Mus musculus: one gene and its partners. The protein of the gene in region 2 purifies or fractionates together with the protein of the main gene of each other region. This does not show direct contact. Links are inferred from orthologs where the notes say so. Each region holds a gene or a part of one and is shown on either strand. Other genes may lie near its edges.

Region 1 (4,895 bases), on a different chromosome or scaffold from region 2:
CAGGTAAAATCTTTTTATTTGGGTAAAATATTTGAGTACTAATTGATGATAAGACAACTTATAGAAACCCAATTAGATAGCTCATGCAGTGGGATGCAGTTCATTCTCTGACAAAGCCATGTAGGGAGTAAAGCATGCTTGTCATGGGCAGGTGAGCTGAACTCATTTTCTCTGACTATAGATGCAAGTCACTTCCTTACTCTGAGCCTCAGGTTTCTCCTCCACTGAGTTAGCAGTGTTTGCTTACACCATAGAAGTGATCTTTGATAGGTTTGGTAGGTTTGCATGACATGCTGGGGTGACAAATTTAAAAGATGACATTTCACTCTCTAGTTCCAGTCAGAGCTCTCTGCAGCCTCACAGTGATAAGACTCCCTAGCACGTCTAGCAGTGTGCAGTGCCTAGTAATAACAGCTATGGGCTGATTGCATTTCTACAAAAGCTGGGGTCCAGTTAACTGTGGTTCAAAGTCTAGGTTCCTTCTACTCTCACTTCTGTACTCAGTGTGTTTCACAAGTAAAACTTACTTCATTCCTTGAAAAGGTCTCAGTAGTGAGCTGGTAATGGTAATTAAACTGTAGAGTATGTGACGAAAACTACTCACTAGTTTAACCTTTGTACTTCCACATTGATAAGTTAATTAAGTAACCATTATACCTGGTGTGGAGGTCTCTGGCAACTTAAACATACACATAATGTATAAATGGTATGCATCCCCAAAATAATTTTTGTTCTACTATGCATAAAAATTAAACTTATAATTAATGTCTCTATACCTGGTGTATGTTTATATTATAGGTATGCTCATATATTTATGCTTATATAGGGTACATTTCAGGAGAAAAATGAGTCTTTTCAGTGTTTGAAAGGTATCTTTAAGAAAAATGTCCATTCCCCTGGTTGTGACATTTTGTATTCCCTCTCCTTTTTTGCCTCTGAAGAATGCTTTTCATGAAAGCAGGTTGTACCTTTCCCATGTTTTCACATTTCCTCTTTCTTTCCTCTGGACCACGAAGGCGTCCACATTTCAGATGGCAATCCTGCTTCAGTATAACACAGAAGACGCCTATACTGTGCAGCAGTTGACTGACAGCACTCAGATTAAAATGGTATTTCCACTGTTTGGTACTCACGCTATACTCTCAAGCTGCCTCTTCTTTGTTCATTGGGATGTTGTGGAAAGGGGGAGAGGACATGGGTTTCTTTGGCTTACTAGATGTTAGCAGCATGGAGAAAAAAGTAAAAGCAGTAAACTCTGACCAAGGCACCAGAAGACCAGGCCAGATAGATCCACAGAGAGCATTTCACTGGGGTGTCTGACACCTTGGATGCCAACAGGACCACTGAGTTCTCATGGTTGAGTCAGAGAAGTTTATATAATGGGCAAGGTTCACTTGAGCCAAAAGTTAACCTGACTAGTCTCAAACTTGTGTGAGGAGCATCCAGCACATTCCTGGTACTGGTGGTACTAAGGTCTAGGGTGTAAAGCTCCATGTGCCACTATCACGACTTTATAACTTTATAGTATTTAAGCAAATTGTTTTGGAGAAAACATGGGTTCTCAGGCAGGCATGGTGGCCAGCACCTGTGATGGTGGTGGCCAGTTCCAGCTGTGTCCTTATAAACCTTTATGCCAGTTTCATAAGGGTGTTAAGAAATGCTCTCTTTTGTCAGCATTATAAGGACAGTGTGAGATGCTCTATTTTTTTTAAGGGTTTCTCTGTGTAGCCCTGGCTATCCAGGAACTCTCTTTGTAATCCATGCTGGCTATGAACTCAGAGAGATCTGCCTGACTCTACCTCCCATGTGCTAGGCTTAATGGTGTGTGCTACCACCACTGTCCCTTGAAATGCTGTTTTAAACCCAGTCAGTCACTGTCTGTCTCTGTCTCTATCTCTGTGTGTGTGTGTGTGTGTGTGTGTGTGTGTGTGTGTGTGTGTGTGTGTGTAGATATATGTACTTGTTTGTATTCACGTGTTGGAGACTAGAAGTAGATGTCACTGTGGTGCACATGTCATTCTTTCTTTGAAGCAGCGTCTGTCAGTGAATCTGGAGCTTATCCATTCAGCTAGGCTGCACAGCAGTAAGACTTGGGGATTCACTCATTTATTCCCCATAGCACTCCAGACAAGGCTGAGCTTTCACGTGAGTGCTGGGAAGCAGATAAAAGATTTTTTAACTTTCCTCATTCACTTTATTTTTTGTTTGGTTGGGATTTTCTGTTGCTGTTGTTGAAATAGTCACCTGTACTCTAGGATGACCTCAGATTCACTGAGTAGGTAGAGAATGCCTTAAACTAACTTACTGTCCTGTCTTTGTACATACATCTGTGTATCTGTGATAGATTACTGGCATGCTCCACACCCGTTTTTATGCAGTGCAGGAGATTGAATCCAGGGCCTTGGGCATGCTAGCCAAGTACTCCACCAGTTAAGAAGTGGTCCCTGCCCCCATTTAATTTTTTAGTTGACATGTGTACTTACTGATGGGTACACTGCTGTACATGCATTTTTTTTTTTTAAATTTCAATGAAACCTACTTTTTTTTTTTTTTTTTTGCTGGCTGGTTGGAAGGGTTGACAGGTCTGCCTCTCTAGTCTCTGCTTGGCCTTCTCCTCGATGCCACACCAATCTTTCTACTTCTTTGTATTACTAGAATTACCTTATGGGTCTTTAGCTGCCCTCCTCCAGACCCCAGTGCATAGCTGTCACTTCTCTGACAGCATGGGAGCCTTGGTTAAGAGTGCAGGTGAGAAAGTTAAGTCCCCATGCCATGAGGCTTGATGGTTCTGGAAATCACCAGAGCAGCTAATAACTACAGAGGTCATATGATGCACTGAATTGCCAACTAAAGCCAAGTTGGCAGCAAGTCAGCTGCCTCCAAGTCTCAGCATGTTCATGAATGCAGTGCAACTTTGGTTCTGCTGAAGCTCCTTACTGCTTCGTTCGCATGTTCAGGGGTGTAGTTTACTGGTAGAACACTTGCCTGGCACACAAAGCCTTGGGTTTGATCCACAGCACCACATAAATGTCTTATGAACCTTCAGACATCGAAGAAGTGAATCATTTCCTGTAGGTTTCATTGAAGAAGCAGGCCATATATTGTGTCCAGTGTTTGTGGGAAACTGCATTATTATTGCCTTTGAATAGTGGGTGCTTCAGGCCATAAAGAACAAGCCATGTCACTTTCTCTGACTAGTTCTGCTTTGAGGTGATGACCATTTCTGTGAGGCTGGGCCTCTGGGACAGGCACTGTAAAGAAGTATTCTTCCTCCTTGCTTACCATCTTTCTCTGATTGCAGGACATTTTGGCACAAGTCCTACAGATTTTACTGAAGTCGAAATTGCTGGTATGTTTGTATACTTTGTGTTGAGCTAGAAGACACCCTTTCCCTAGGATGTGCCTAGTAACAGTTATTTTCTTCTAGGTCTTAGAAGATGAAAATGCCAATGTTGATGAGGTGGAATTGAAGCCAGACACCTTAATAAAGTTATATCTTGGTTATAAAAAGTAAGAAAAATCTAACATGTAGCTGCTGGTCTTATCCCCTGGCACTGGCCTACTTCAGGATCGGCACGAGCCAGGGGAACTGGACTCTGCTTTTAATGCTGAGTTTGATTTTCTTTATCTTGAAAATAAGTCTTGAGTGGCTCATATGGCATGTTTAGACCTTTATATCAAGTTATTTTGGTGTTATTACAATTCACTAAATTGAGGGGTCAAGTGTCACTTCAGTCATCCCTCTGTGGTAAAATTACATAGCATTGGTGGAGGGGCAGTTCGCAGGTAGCAGTAGAAATGATGAGAAATGATATAGAAGAGATGGGTGTGAACCACCTGCCCAGTCCAGGGATGCAAAACGTGTAGTTGAAAGACAGGAAGCAGACTTTTCAATGACCTGTTTCCTCTGTTATCTTGACAGTAAGAAATTGAGGGTTAATATCAATGTACCAATGAAAACTGAACAGAAGCAGGAACAAGAAACTACACACAAAAATATAGAGGAAGACCGCAAACTACTGATTCAGGTGACTGAACCATGTCTGCACTGTACACTTAGGGAAACGTGCTGGCCTTGTATGTGCTCAAACGCTGCCAGAATGACAGTTCGGTGATGGCCAAAGATGACAATGCCTGAAGCCAGCACTTGGTGTCTGAGGGATGAAGTATTTTATGTTCCAAACAAAAGTAGTCTAATCTTCTTGCCTAAGTATTGGGAAGCAGGTAATATGTGGCAGATTAAAGAAACAGGAGATTGGGGGGAAGGGGACCTTCTATTCCTTTAGAGATCCATTTTTTCTTTATTCTTTAGTGCTTTATAGTTGGCCAAAATTAGCCCCTCCAAAATATTTAAGATTTACATTTAGTGTATATGCATGTTTTGTCTATATGTAGTCACATATAGATAGGGTTCATGTATGCTACTGGTGTCCCCAGAGGCCAGGAAAGGATGCTGCATCTCTTTGGTTGTGAGCTACTCCATAGGTCCTGGGAACTGAAACCAGGTCCTCTGGAAGACCTCAGTGCTCTTAAACCACTGCACCATCAATCTAGCCCCTTAGACAAAACATTTTAATGGATAAAGCTGATGGATAGAGCTGATTGCTTGTACCCTCCCTGACCTGTAGGATAGTTGTTACCCTAGCATGGAAGTTGAGTATGAGGTGGTACAGGCTGCCTTGAACTTTCATGCTCAGCTGTTAAACCTCTAAGCATGTGTTTTTCTTGTTGATTGCATAGGCGGCCATCGTGAGAATCATGAAAATGAGGAAGGTCCTGAAACACCAGCAGTTACTTGGTGAAGTCCTCACTCAGCTCTCCTCCAGGTTCAAACCTCGGGTCCCGGTGATCAAGGTACAGGAATTACAGAGCATGGTTAGGAAACTTGTAGCAGA
Region 2 (5,232 bases):
AGGACAATGATTTTCAATCATCTCTCATAACAGTCTAATCTTCAAGATTGTGTTCATAATAATAATAATAATATATATATGTGTTTGGTGCTGAAAGACTAATTTGACTTATTTCAAAGTAACTGTATGAAATCAATTGTCTTTAAATCGTATTTTGTACTTGGTTAAATCAAGCAATACATGCACACACAGTGTCTCATGACGAACTGTTTCAGGGTACCAGAAGAAACTAGTGTCTATTTGTTCAGAATTTTCAGATGAGCTACACAACCTGAAATTCTCTAATGTCTTTAATAGAAAGAAATACAGAGTGAAGCAAGGGTGTCCAACTACACAAGCACAGAGTAAGTCTGAACTAAAGCAGAGAGAGGCAGCGGATCTTCTCCACATTTCTCTAGACTAAAATGTTAACCTCTAATACCATTACTCTTATTTCTAAAGTTGTGCTTTACAGCAGAGCTCTCGAAGGAGCTCTTAAGTGCTGTTGTGTATGAAACTGTCGTACCAACTGTCGTTCTCAAAATGAAGTTCCTAGACCGCACGAAAACCATCCAAGTACTGAAGCCATTGGAATTCTTATGCTTAGCCCACATGGCTAAGAAACTTTGTGAGTGGGACTGAGCACGGTTTGCCTTTAGACTCCCCTTGGTGAGTCTACTGAACAGCGTGAAAAGCACCGTTTTAGACTAATTAATCTGATTCTAAGTTTTTCCAGCCTATAGTGACCACTTAAATATTAAGGATAATCCCTGCGACATGTCTGCTTTCTAAACTAGAAATTACTTCCTCACACAAATAAATCTGTAACAAGAAATGTTAAACTTAAGCACAACTGGTTTTATGAGCTCCATCTGTTGGATACACCTGACTTGTGTCATAGACTTATAAAGGAACACCCAGGACCGAGATGACCTGCATTCATATGCAGGAATGCTCTTTACAATCTCCTTTCTATAGCATTTGCCATTACAGTTTTCTAAGGCAACTCAAAGATGACCGAAAGCAAAGGGAAAGCAATTCAGGTTTCCTCCCTGGAGGAGGGGAAGCAGTCCCTCCACACTTGTCTGCTTGAATCCTACCCCTTATCAAACAATAATGCACCCTACTGGAGTTTCAGGTAAACAATAACTTGTATCAGTAAGTCTGTCTGGGACACATCTACACTGATCGGCATCAGTGAAGTCAAAATTAACTAGGCATCTTTGTTTGCCTCTTGAAACAGCGTCCTTCCTGTTAAATACTCACTCTGTAGCCCAGGCTGCTCTTAACAGGCAGTGTCCTGATAACTCTTTTCTCTTTGGCTATGATTAGCAATCCTATGCCTGATAACCCAGTACCTTTATGACCACAATCCACTCAGCCATATCTATTACCAAGCTCTCCTATCTTAGAGGAAGACAGCATAGGGAGGGCACGAAGCTTTAGGTGAGGAGCACTGCTTAGACAGGTTTTATGCTGGCCCCTTCAGCAAACAGGAAATAGAGGCAAACGAGGCAATTCCTGTCCTTTTACAACAGCTTTTTGGTTTTTATGCTCAACATTTTTAAGAGAAGGCCTTAAATTGTTGATTCTCTCTCACCTCAGACTCCCAAGTCATAGAGCTACATGAGTGACTCACCAGGCCTAGCCCAGTTTAATCATTTAACAATAACTATCATTTAGAAATCATATTAGAAAAAAATTAACGTTAAGGATTCAGCAAGCATCCCATTTTTCTTTCTTCATCTCCAAAATACAATGTGCTGAACCTTTGTTCTCACATAGGTACTGTGATTAACACTATTCAAACCTCAAGAGGCTACCTTCCTTCACCCACCTCATCACTCTGTGAGTCTTACGTGTCCCTTGTAACACTGAAATGAAGCAAACAGCTCTCTTGCATTTTTCCATGAATCCTCTTTTGTTTCCTTCTAAAATACACTCGAACTATTTAGTCTCTACATCATCTTTAGTGTTTTTGTTGGTTTTTTAAAAATGCATCAAAGCCAGCAACACTCACTGGTCGTGGTGGCAGCTCACTCCCTTAATCCCAGCACTTGGGAGGCAGAGGCAGGAAATTAAGTTTGAGGCCAGCCTGGTCTACAGAGTGGAGTTCCAGGGCAGCCAAAACTATGCAGAAAAACCCTATCTCAAACCACCACCACCAAAACAAACAAATAAAACAACACCCCCAAACAAAACCAAACCGTCCTAATGCAGTAGTTCTCAACCTTCCTAAGGTATAATTCCTCATGTTGTGGTGACCCCCAACCATAAAATTATTCCATTGTTACTTCATAAAGTAATTGACACCATCACCACCACCCCTCCAAGGAGTCCCGCGCAGCAGGTGGAAACTCACTGCCCTAACGTTTGTGATATATTTCTCTTCCCTCAAATTTGCTGCCAACCATTCACCATTAATTTAAAACTTCAGTCACTTATTTAGACTCACTTAGTGGCTGCTTTTGCTCTTTTAAGAAATTAAAGGACTATTTTAGCTTTAGCAAATATAAAAAAATATTTGTAAAGAACTCTTAAAGGCATGCAATAATTTTAAAACTTTAAGCACTTTCCCTGAAAAGTTCACTATTCTAAGGACATCAGAAGCTCAACTGGCTGTGACAGTAACGGCAGTGAGGCGCTTTACTCGTTAACAGAAGGATGGAAGGGGTTACCTTGAAGCTGACATACTGTAGGTGGTTTGAGTGCCTTTTGATAATCTGTTTGATCAGCTCTGGGTGTGTGGCTTTCAAGTAAGATGTCGCTGGCTGATTCAGTTCAAATTCAAAACATCGCCACAAGTCAGGCATGTGAAATACCTGATTCCAATTCCGGCACACTTGGGAAGCATGAGCCCGGTCAAGAAGAGGCAAATACTTAAAAACATGGAGGACGATGTCCTGCAGGAGGTTACCCCAGTCACAAGGCTGCGAGCGCTCCTGTGTCGTCCTCGGTCTCTTGGGCTTCTCGGCAGTGCCTTCCTCAGCAGAGTCCTGGTCACTATCTCTTCCTCCTCGTTTCATCCTATTCAAGACAATCCATCATTTCCCATCCTACTTAACTTTTGATCAAATTCATCTTCTGTTACTGAAATGTGTTTGGATTTGGACAGAAATACGCATGAAAACCTGGCCCAACAATTCAAGGAGAATATAAAAATGCAATGAAACCTGCCGGTGGAGATGAAACTCCTGAAGTGATTTTAAACAGCTACATTTAAAACTACTTATAACTTAGGTAAACCATGAATTTATAACTCAAAACTTGTAGTCAACTCTAAAGGAGAACTACAGTGATAAAATCCAATTTTCTGTCAAATTTAAGGTACACCAAGGTCCGCATGAACCTCTAAACTCTTAAGTGGTCAACAGAGCTGCACTGAACAGCCTGTGAACAGCCTGCTACACATACCCCACCTCTGCTTGGTGGACGTAAATCTGGACTGAGAGTACAGCCCAATGGTAAAGCCCCTGCCTTAAGTACTCCCGCCCAAGCTCGACCTGCAGCTGCATGAAGTAGATGAGTAGTTACAGCAGTCTGCCTGACTAAGCTAAGCTTTGTCTCAGCTAGGATATGGTTTCTTCTCCCAACACATAACTGTCACTGTTTTTCCTGTCCATTTTCTGTATGTTTCCGCCATGGTTTTTCTATGTATTCTTACCCCCTTCATGCCATGAGATGTTCACGACAAACGGTACCATCAGCTCGAAGACCAAGCTCTCTCGAGGTTTGAATACTAGCTACACTTCAAAATAGCTCCATGGCTTTGGGAAATTACAAGACTGTCAGTACAAGACTGTCAGATGCTTCAGTTTGCAAAATGGTGATCTTTTGATACAGGGTTCTTGACATCTCAGCCCAGTATGGAAGCCATCACAAAGAAGTGACTGTCCCCAGAATGGGAAGAGCAATTTAATTTTTCTTTCAAAAAAGGGGAGGGAGCAGTGGTGTAGAGAAATGCCCTGGCAAGAGCATCACTAGCTTAGGGTAACAGCTGAAAATGCGCAGTGGGGCGGCACAAGCTCCAGCTATGTTCCCCAATATGCTCTTTTTCTTTCTACATTGTATACAGCTATTTCATGTAATCAGAGTTCCAAAGGACACATCTTCATTTGTTACTTTATTTACACTGCACTCTAGTCTAACCTGGACCATTCCTTGGTACTAGTATTTAGTCTAGGATCTACCATGATTTTTAGAGAGCAATTCTAGTAAGGCGCTGGTCCAAACAAGACTCAAAAGGATGGCTTGACTCCAACCAACTTGTGACAAATCATGTCGCAAGAATCGGGTTCCTCCGTGGTATGAAGGATATGCGTCTGTACAGACTTTCTCATCCAGAGGCTGGCAGAGAAGGGCTGAGGGCTGGAGAAAACAAACAGGATGGCAGAGAGCACAACCCTACATCGTCAGTCCAGGAGGCCTTGAAAAAGGAACTGTCTCCTTTGTTGTTCCTGCATCTGACTGTATGCACACACACAAAAGGGCATAGTCTCCAGGAAAAGCAGAATTCAGAAAACAAAATAACAGATGACAAGATGGCTTTATGGAACATTCAAACTTATGAATCTATGAATAGATTTTTATGTGTGTTCAAAGTTAGAATGATCAACACTGACATTAAATTAAAATAAAAAGTCCTTCTATGGGTAAGCGTGTCATTATGACCCATTTTCCAACTTTAACTTATCCTGAAGGCTTAACTTTAATTTTAGCATTTCAATTTGGGTCAAAGAACGAAGAGTCTGCTACTTAGGACTCAAACTTTCTTACTGGCAGAAACTACTCAGAATTCTGAGATAGAGATTCAAAAAAGAATGACAAAGTCTTCCTACTTCCAGACCTCCTGCCAGGATGCTCTGCTGTATCTGGCGAAATCTTCTAAAGCCAGACCATAAAGATTAAACACTTCATTTTACAGTCAAGTGTACAGATTCAAAACCAAAACGAGGACAGCAGCCTTTCTGACAACACTCTAAGGACACTCTGCTGACCCTAAGTTTATACAATTTTTATGTGAGACAGGCTCTCTATGTGAGCCTGGCCAGCCTGGGAATCAGAGATCCACTGCTTCTGCCTTCCAACACAGTCCCATCTAAATAAAGGGTATTTCAATCCCCCTTTAAGTTGGGAAGGCAATGTAAAGTCACCAACGCTAAGGAAGATCAAGTACACGGTTACACTTGATCTAAATATAAACTGAACACATGGATCATCAAAGTATATATTAGTACTTATTACTTTATGAAT
Region 3 (5,232 bases), on a different chromosome or scaffold from region 2:
TTGAATCAGAATTTTAAGAATTAAATGGGTTTATATCAAGCCCTTAGCATTTTATTTAGCTGCTGTGATTTTTATTCACTCAGTTGTAATACCACGGTGAATAAGAAAATTTTTAGTGCTTCAGTTTTAAACTAAGAAATGCTATTTAACACTCTTTTTTTGTTGTTTTGTTTTGTTTTTACTGCTACCTTGGCCCACTGTTGCCTTTCAGGGCTGTCAGCATAATTCAATTAAGAGCTTATTTGACACATTTCCATATCTTACTTTGATATATTCTGTGTGATTTTATTATATGTACACTAGCTTATCCCTTCATTTAGTTGAGATGAAAACTGAAGTCATAACCTACCCAGTTAGAGTCCTCTGAACCATGGCCTCACATCCCATCTGCCGTGTGTCTGTTGATGGGGTGTGTGGCAGTACCAGGGGCGCTGTGACAGGCAGAGCCTGCGGCTTGCATTAGACAGGAGCACATGCTTGGGAGATTCAGGAGCTGTCTAAGTTCACAGTAACTTCTGGCATGAAATTGTCTTTATAAACATGAGAATTCACAATTTGTGTATCTATTAAGTAATTTTACCTTTTAAGTTATTTACACATTATACCAAGTTAACAAAGCTAATTCTATAAACAACACAACAAACTGACTTTACTTGTGTTAGCAAGTAAATGAATAAAACCATTACTTGATCCAGACACGCGTCTTCCCTTGGTGATGTCTTACATGTGCTAGTCCTTTTGGTACCAACACTTCCATCAGGTCCCAGTTTTCTTAACGTCAATGGGTGAATATGGAGCAGACAGAATAGGGTAAGAGAAGTTGCTTCTAAATGGGAGACTCAGCCATATTGTAAAATTAGGTTTTGTTGAGTTGATTGTGAATACATACCAAAGACTCGGTGTGTGTGTGTGTGTCTGTGCCTGTACGTCTGTGTGTGTGTGTGTCTGTGCCTGTACGTCTGTGTGTGTGTGTCTGTGTGTCTGTGTCTGTGCGTCTGTGCGCACACGTGTGTAAAAATCTTTTCTATGAGTTTCAGTTTGCTGGTAGATAATTAAGAGACACTTAATAGTGTCATTGTAGCATTATTGAATTCAACAAACTTCATTATAGCCCTATATGTAATATCAAAATATTAAACCAAAACAAACTGTACTTACAGCAGGGAGGATAGCTTTTACTCTGAAACCATGTCTAGACTTAATGCAAACCCTTGGAAGTGCTGCTGGCATCTTTCCCTAGAACTATTGTAGGATTGAGGTACCCAGTGGTCAGCAATAACTACATAATGCACTTAATATTAATGACTATACTTAAATATAAATGACTTGGAATTTGGGGTGCATGTATGCATAATATTTCTCTCCTTATCCATGAGGGCATTCCAAAGCCCTGGTGGCTGTTAAGAACCACTAGTCACGTTGAACCCATGTTCACTGTGCTGTCTATCTAAAGAGCACAGCATGGCAAAGCTTGGCTGTAAATTATAAGTTATAGGAGGTTAACAATGGTATTGAACGTTTAGAACAGTATGCTGTAATAAGTTATGTGAGTCTAGACATACTATTTTTGTAGCACAATTGAACACAAGTAACTGAAACCACGGAAAACAAAAGCTCAGCTAGGGGCAGGTGCTGGGAACAGATACATGTGCTGAGGTCTGTAACAAGGACCCACACAACAGAAAACAGCTGTGGAGGCTTCACGTCCATAGAGGAAATTGGGACACAGCAGAAAGGGCAAGAGGAGATAGGGTTTCTCTGTGTAGCCCTGGCTGTCCTAGAACTCACCCTGTAGACCAAGCTGACCTGGCATTTATAGAGACCCACCTGCCTTTGCCTCCGAGTGCTGGGATTGAAGGTGCGCCCCACTACTGATAGCATGTTTTACTTCTGCTGATTATTTCTCGTTAGAATTATCAATCTACTTTAGTTTTATTGGTGCCTCTTGAGATTTATTAAATTGGTTCATTTTTTTCACTTGTCCATTTATATTAATTTTTCTATACATGATCTATAGGCTAGTTGAACTACTTTGTTAGTTTTTAGTCACAATCCTAAATACTTGCCATCAATGATTTGATGTTTGCATACTGTATTATTTGACACCTAGTAGACATCTAGGAATTCAAGAGAATGGTTTTACATTCATTAAATATTTTTGAACACATTTTCTGGTCTTATCAGAAGCTAACATTCAAAATATCTTAATTGATAAATTTTCTGATATAAGCATTTTTGAGCTTATCAGCCAAGCTATATTAGCATTTACTAACTGTATCTTACTCATTCTTGTAACAGGATCATAGAACTCAATGGCGGACAGCCACCTCTAACATATAAAAGGTTTCAGACTCTCGTCAGCAAGATGGAGCCACTGGAGATGCCAGCAGACACCATCACATCAGATGTGATAGGAAAGTGCATGACCCCTCTGTCTGATGACCATGATGAGAAATATGGCGTTCCTTCCCTGGAAGAGCTCGGTGGGTGCAGCCGCTGATAAGCACCCAGAGTGCATGGCAGCACAAAGTGGACCTGATGGCTGACTAAGAAAAGTCAGAAAGAACACAGTCAGGATGGGTAGGGAGATCTGGGGGATCTAGGAAGCTTTAGGGGGACAGGTAAGGGCAGTGTGATCAGAATACGATGTGTGAAATTCCCAAGTAATTTAAAAATATATTTTAAAATACTTCATAGTCATAAATCATTTGGACATTTCACTTCTAATGTATTTTTACTGGAAGAAGAGAAGAGTAAAGGGGAAAATAAAAGAGAAACCTATTAACCAAAAATATCTCATGTGCATTCTTAAACTGTGACTGGCTGTCAGGTGACAATGTGCATCCTAAAAATGGGAACCATGTGTGGTCCTTGGGGCAGGAGTCTGTCATTGGGTGGGGCCTAGGCCAGTGTAGTCCTGTGTAGTCCTCTGTAAGCCAGTGTAGGCCTGTAGAGTTGTATTTATTTGTTTATTTTATTTTTGCTGAGTGATTTGTTTCCCAAGTAAGTGTGGTCAGGAAAACAGTGATTTTTTTGTTTTATAATAATTACAATATTAATGATGTTTTCCTTTCTTCATTTATTTGGTTCTTTTTCCTTAGGCTTTGATACAGATGGCCTGTCCTCTGCAGTGTGGCCAGGAGGAGAAACTGAGGCACTTACACGTTTGGAAAGGCATTTGGAAAGAAAGGTACAATGTAGATTCCAAATAAACCTTTCAGAAATTATCTCAGCCTTGTTTAGATGAGACCAGGCACATCCAGGGAGGCTTAGCCGTAAGCTTTAGACAGAATATGCTGTTGACAAAGGAAGACCGACAGAAATAGTTACAGCAGCACAAATCTAACGTTTGGAAGTCACCATCAGCCATCAGGTACTGCCCTTTCCTCCTGCCTGCTTCTTCCTGTTGCTGGAGCCAGGCTGCTGCTTCTGTTCTTCCCACCCGTATCAGCTGGCTAACGGGCTGGAGCAGGATTCTGCCTGCAGCCATGCTGCTCTGTCTGAGACTCCAGTGGGTCCCATGAGACAGTTTCACTTGTCTGTTTTGTTGGTATCACTGGTAATACGTATTGATTGTAGAAATTAGCAAGACTCCCATGTATTGATCCTGTTCCGCCACTCCCTCAGATACTTCTCCCATTGCAGATGACCCTCATCCTTGCCCTCTCCCGTCTCTTAATAAAGCTTAGTTTGTAACTTAGATGCATCAGGAGATTCATATACTCACTAATGGTAAGATAGTATAATTGTGATCTACTATAATAAATTATTTAAAACCTACAAGTTATTTGTAGAATTTTCCTTTAATGTTTTCCAACTATCATTACTCGACCATGAGCATCTGAAACCTTAGGAAAGGCAAGGCACACCATTGTATTCCTTTGACCCAGTGTTCAAAGAGACAGGGTGAAGGTGCTTCACTCCTGAGGCTGGGGACCTGATGGCCGTTTATTTCACATGAGTGCATGCTGTACATGGATGGCTTCAGGGAAAGACAAGTCACCTTTTAAAGTCCCTTTCTCCAGTTACTAAATCAGAGATCTATAGTGGGATAATAACAAATTCCTCAAAATCCTCAGTTTTGAGGTGTGTGTGTGTGTGTGTGTGTGTGTGTGTGTGAGTGTGAGTATGTGAGCTCAACTCCTTCCATGCGGTGCTGGAGAGTTGAGCTCATGTTAGTGTGATTAGAGAAGTTAATTTAATTGTCTCTGTGTTTCCAGGCCTGGGTGGCAAACTTTGAACGACCTCGAATGAATGCAAACTCCCTGCTTGCAAGCCCAACTGGACTCAGTCCTTATCTCCGCTTTGGTTGTTTATCATGTCGGCTGTTTTATTTCAAACTAACAGATCTCTACAAAAAGGTATTATCTGAAGTCAGAGTATGTTTTTTGAAATACTTTAAAATTTTTTTCTGGTAATACTTTTTGTTTTTTAATCGCAGGTAAAGAAGAATAGTTCCCCTCCCCTTTCTCTTTATGGGCAACTCCTGTGGCGTGAATTTTTTTATACAGCAGCCACAAACAACCCACGCTTTGACAAAATGGAAGGGAACCCCATCTGTGTTCAGATCCCTTGGGACAAGAACCCCGAGGCTCTGGCCAAATGGGCAGAAGGCCGGACAGGCTTCCCGTGGATTGACGCCATCATGACTCAGCTTCGTCAGGAGGGCTGGATCCACCATTTAGCCAGACACGCGGTTGCCTGTTTCCTGACTCGTGGTGACCTGTGGATCAGCTGGGAAGAAGGGATGAAGGTAAATATTCGGACTGACGTAGCATTTGCAGGAGTCTGTGGCTACACTGAGGTGTGCTCGTGCACATCTGAAATCCGAGCAGCAGCAGCCTGGGAAGCTGGGTAGGGGAAGCTTCACATCTTGGGCTGCAGAGTGAGGTGGGGAAGAGCTTGGCTTGTGGGGTGCAGGGCTGCGCTTGTCCGTTCTGCAGGCTTTCCAGTGGATAAGCATGTGATGCCCACAGTAGAGACCCAGTTTTCAAGAGCAAGGTGTGAAACTCAGATGGGCTCATTAAATTGCTTACCCAAGAGTCACTTCTACAGTTAAACCTTCCGTCTACTAAGAGCGCTATTACTGTTCAGCAGTCTGGCCTCTTGTGGTAGTGAAGGCCTGCAGTCTGATGATGCTACTTGATAGACATGAGAAGACCTGGACTACAGGTCACCCTGGGCTACATTGTCGGCTACTTTTAAGAGTAAGAAAATTAATTGATTGGGTAG

Evidence for each region. The genes of interacting proteins can lie anywhere in the genome.
Region 1: the proteins of Fbxl3 (region 2) and Cul1 purify together in Homo sapiens (affinity purification with western blotting; 6 studies listed by BioGRID, with this or other methods). This does not show direct contact. The link is inferred for Mus musculus from reciprocal best matches to the Homo sapiens genes FBXL3 and CUL1.
Region 3: the proteins of Fbxl3 (region 2) and Cry1 purify together in Homo sapiens (affinity purification with mass spectrometry; 4 studies listed by BioGRID and IntAct, counting the BioPlex papers as one, with this or other methods). This does not show direct contact. The link is inferred for Mus musculus from reciprocal best matches to the Homo sapiens genes FBXL3 and CRY1.

The regions. Positions count from the first base shown.
Region 1 is NC_000072.6:47,519,777-47,524,671, forward strand, and holds part of Cul1 (cullin-1), read left to right. Parts: coding exon 1-3; intron 4-1,016; coding exon 1,017-1,109; intron 1,110-3,301; coding exon 3,302-3,349; intron 3,350-3,427; coding exon 3,428-3,510; intron 3,511-3,922; coding exon 3,923-4,028; intron 4,029-4,740; coding exon 4,741-4,854; intron 4,855-4,895. UniProt on the Homo sapiens protein: Core component of multiple cullin-RING-based SCF (SKP1-CUL1-F-box protein) E3 ubiquitin-protein ligase complexes, which mediate the ubiquitination of proteins involved in cell cycle progression, signal transduction and transcription.
Region 2 is NC_000080.6:103,092,536-103,097,767, forward strand, and holds part of Fbxl3 (F-box/LRR-repeat protein 3), read right to left. Parts: intron 3,007-5,232; 5' UTR 3,006-3,006; coding exon 2,658-3,005; intron 1-2,657. UniProt on the Homo sapiens protein: Substrate-recognition component of the SCF(FBXL3) E3 ubiquitin ligase complex involved in circadian rhythm function. Plays a key role in the maintenance of both the speed and the robustness of the circadian clock oscillation.
Region 3 is NC_000076.6:85,145,865-85,151,096, reverse strand, and holds part of Cry1 (cryptochrome-1), read left to right. Parts: intron 1-2,298; coding exon 2,299-2,483; intron 2,484-3,101; coding exon 3,102-3,190; intron 3,191-4,220; coding exon 4,221-4,361; intron 4,362-4,441; coding exon 4,442-4,753; intron 4,754-5,232.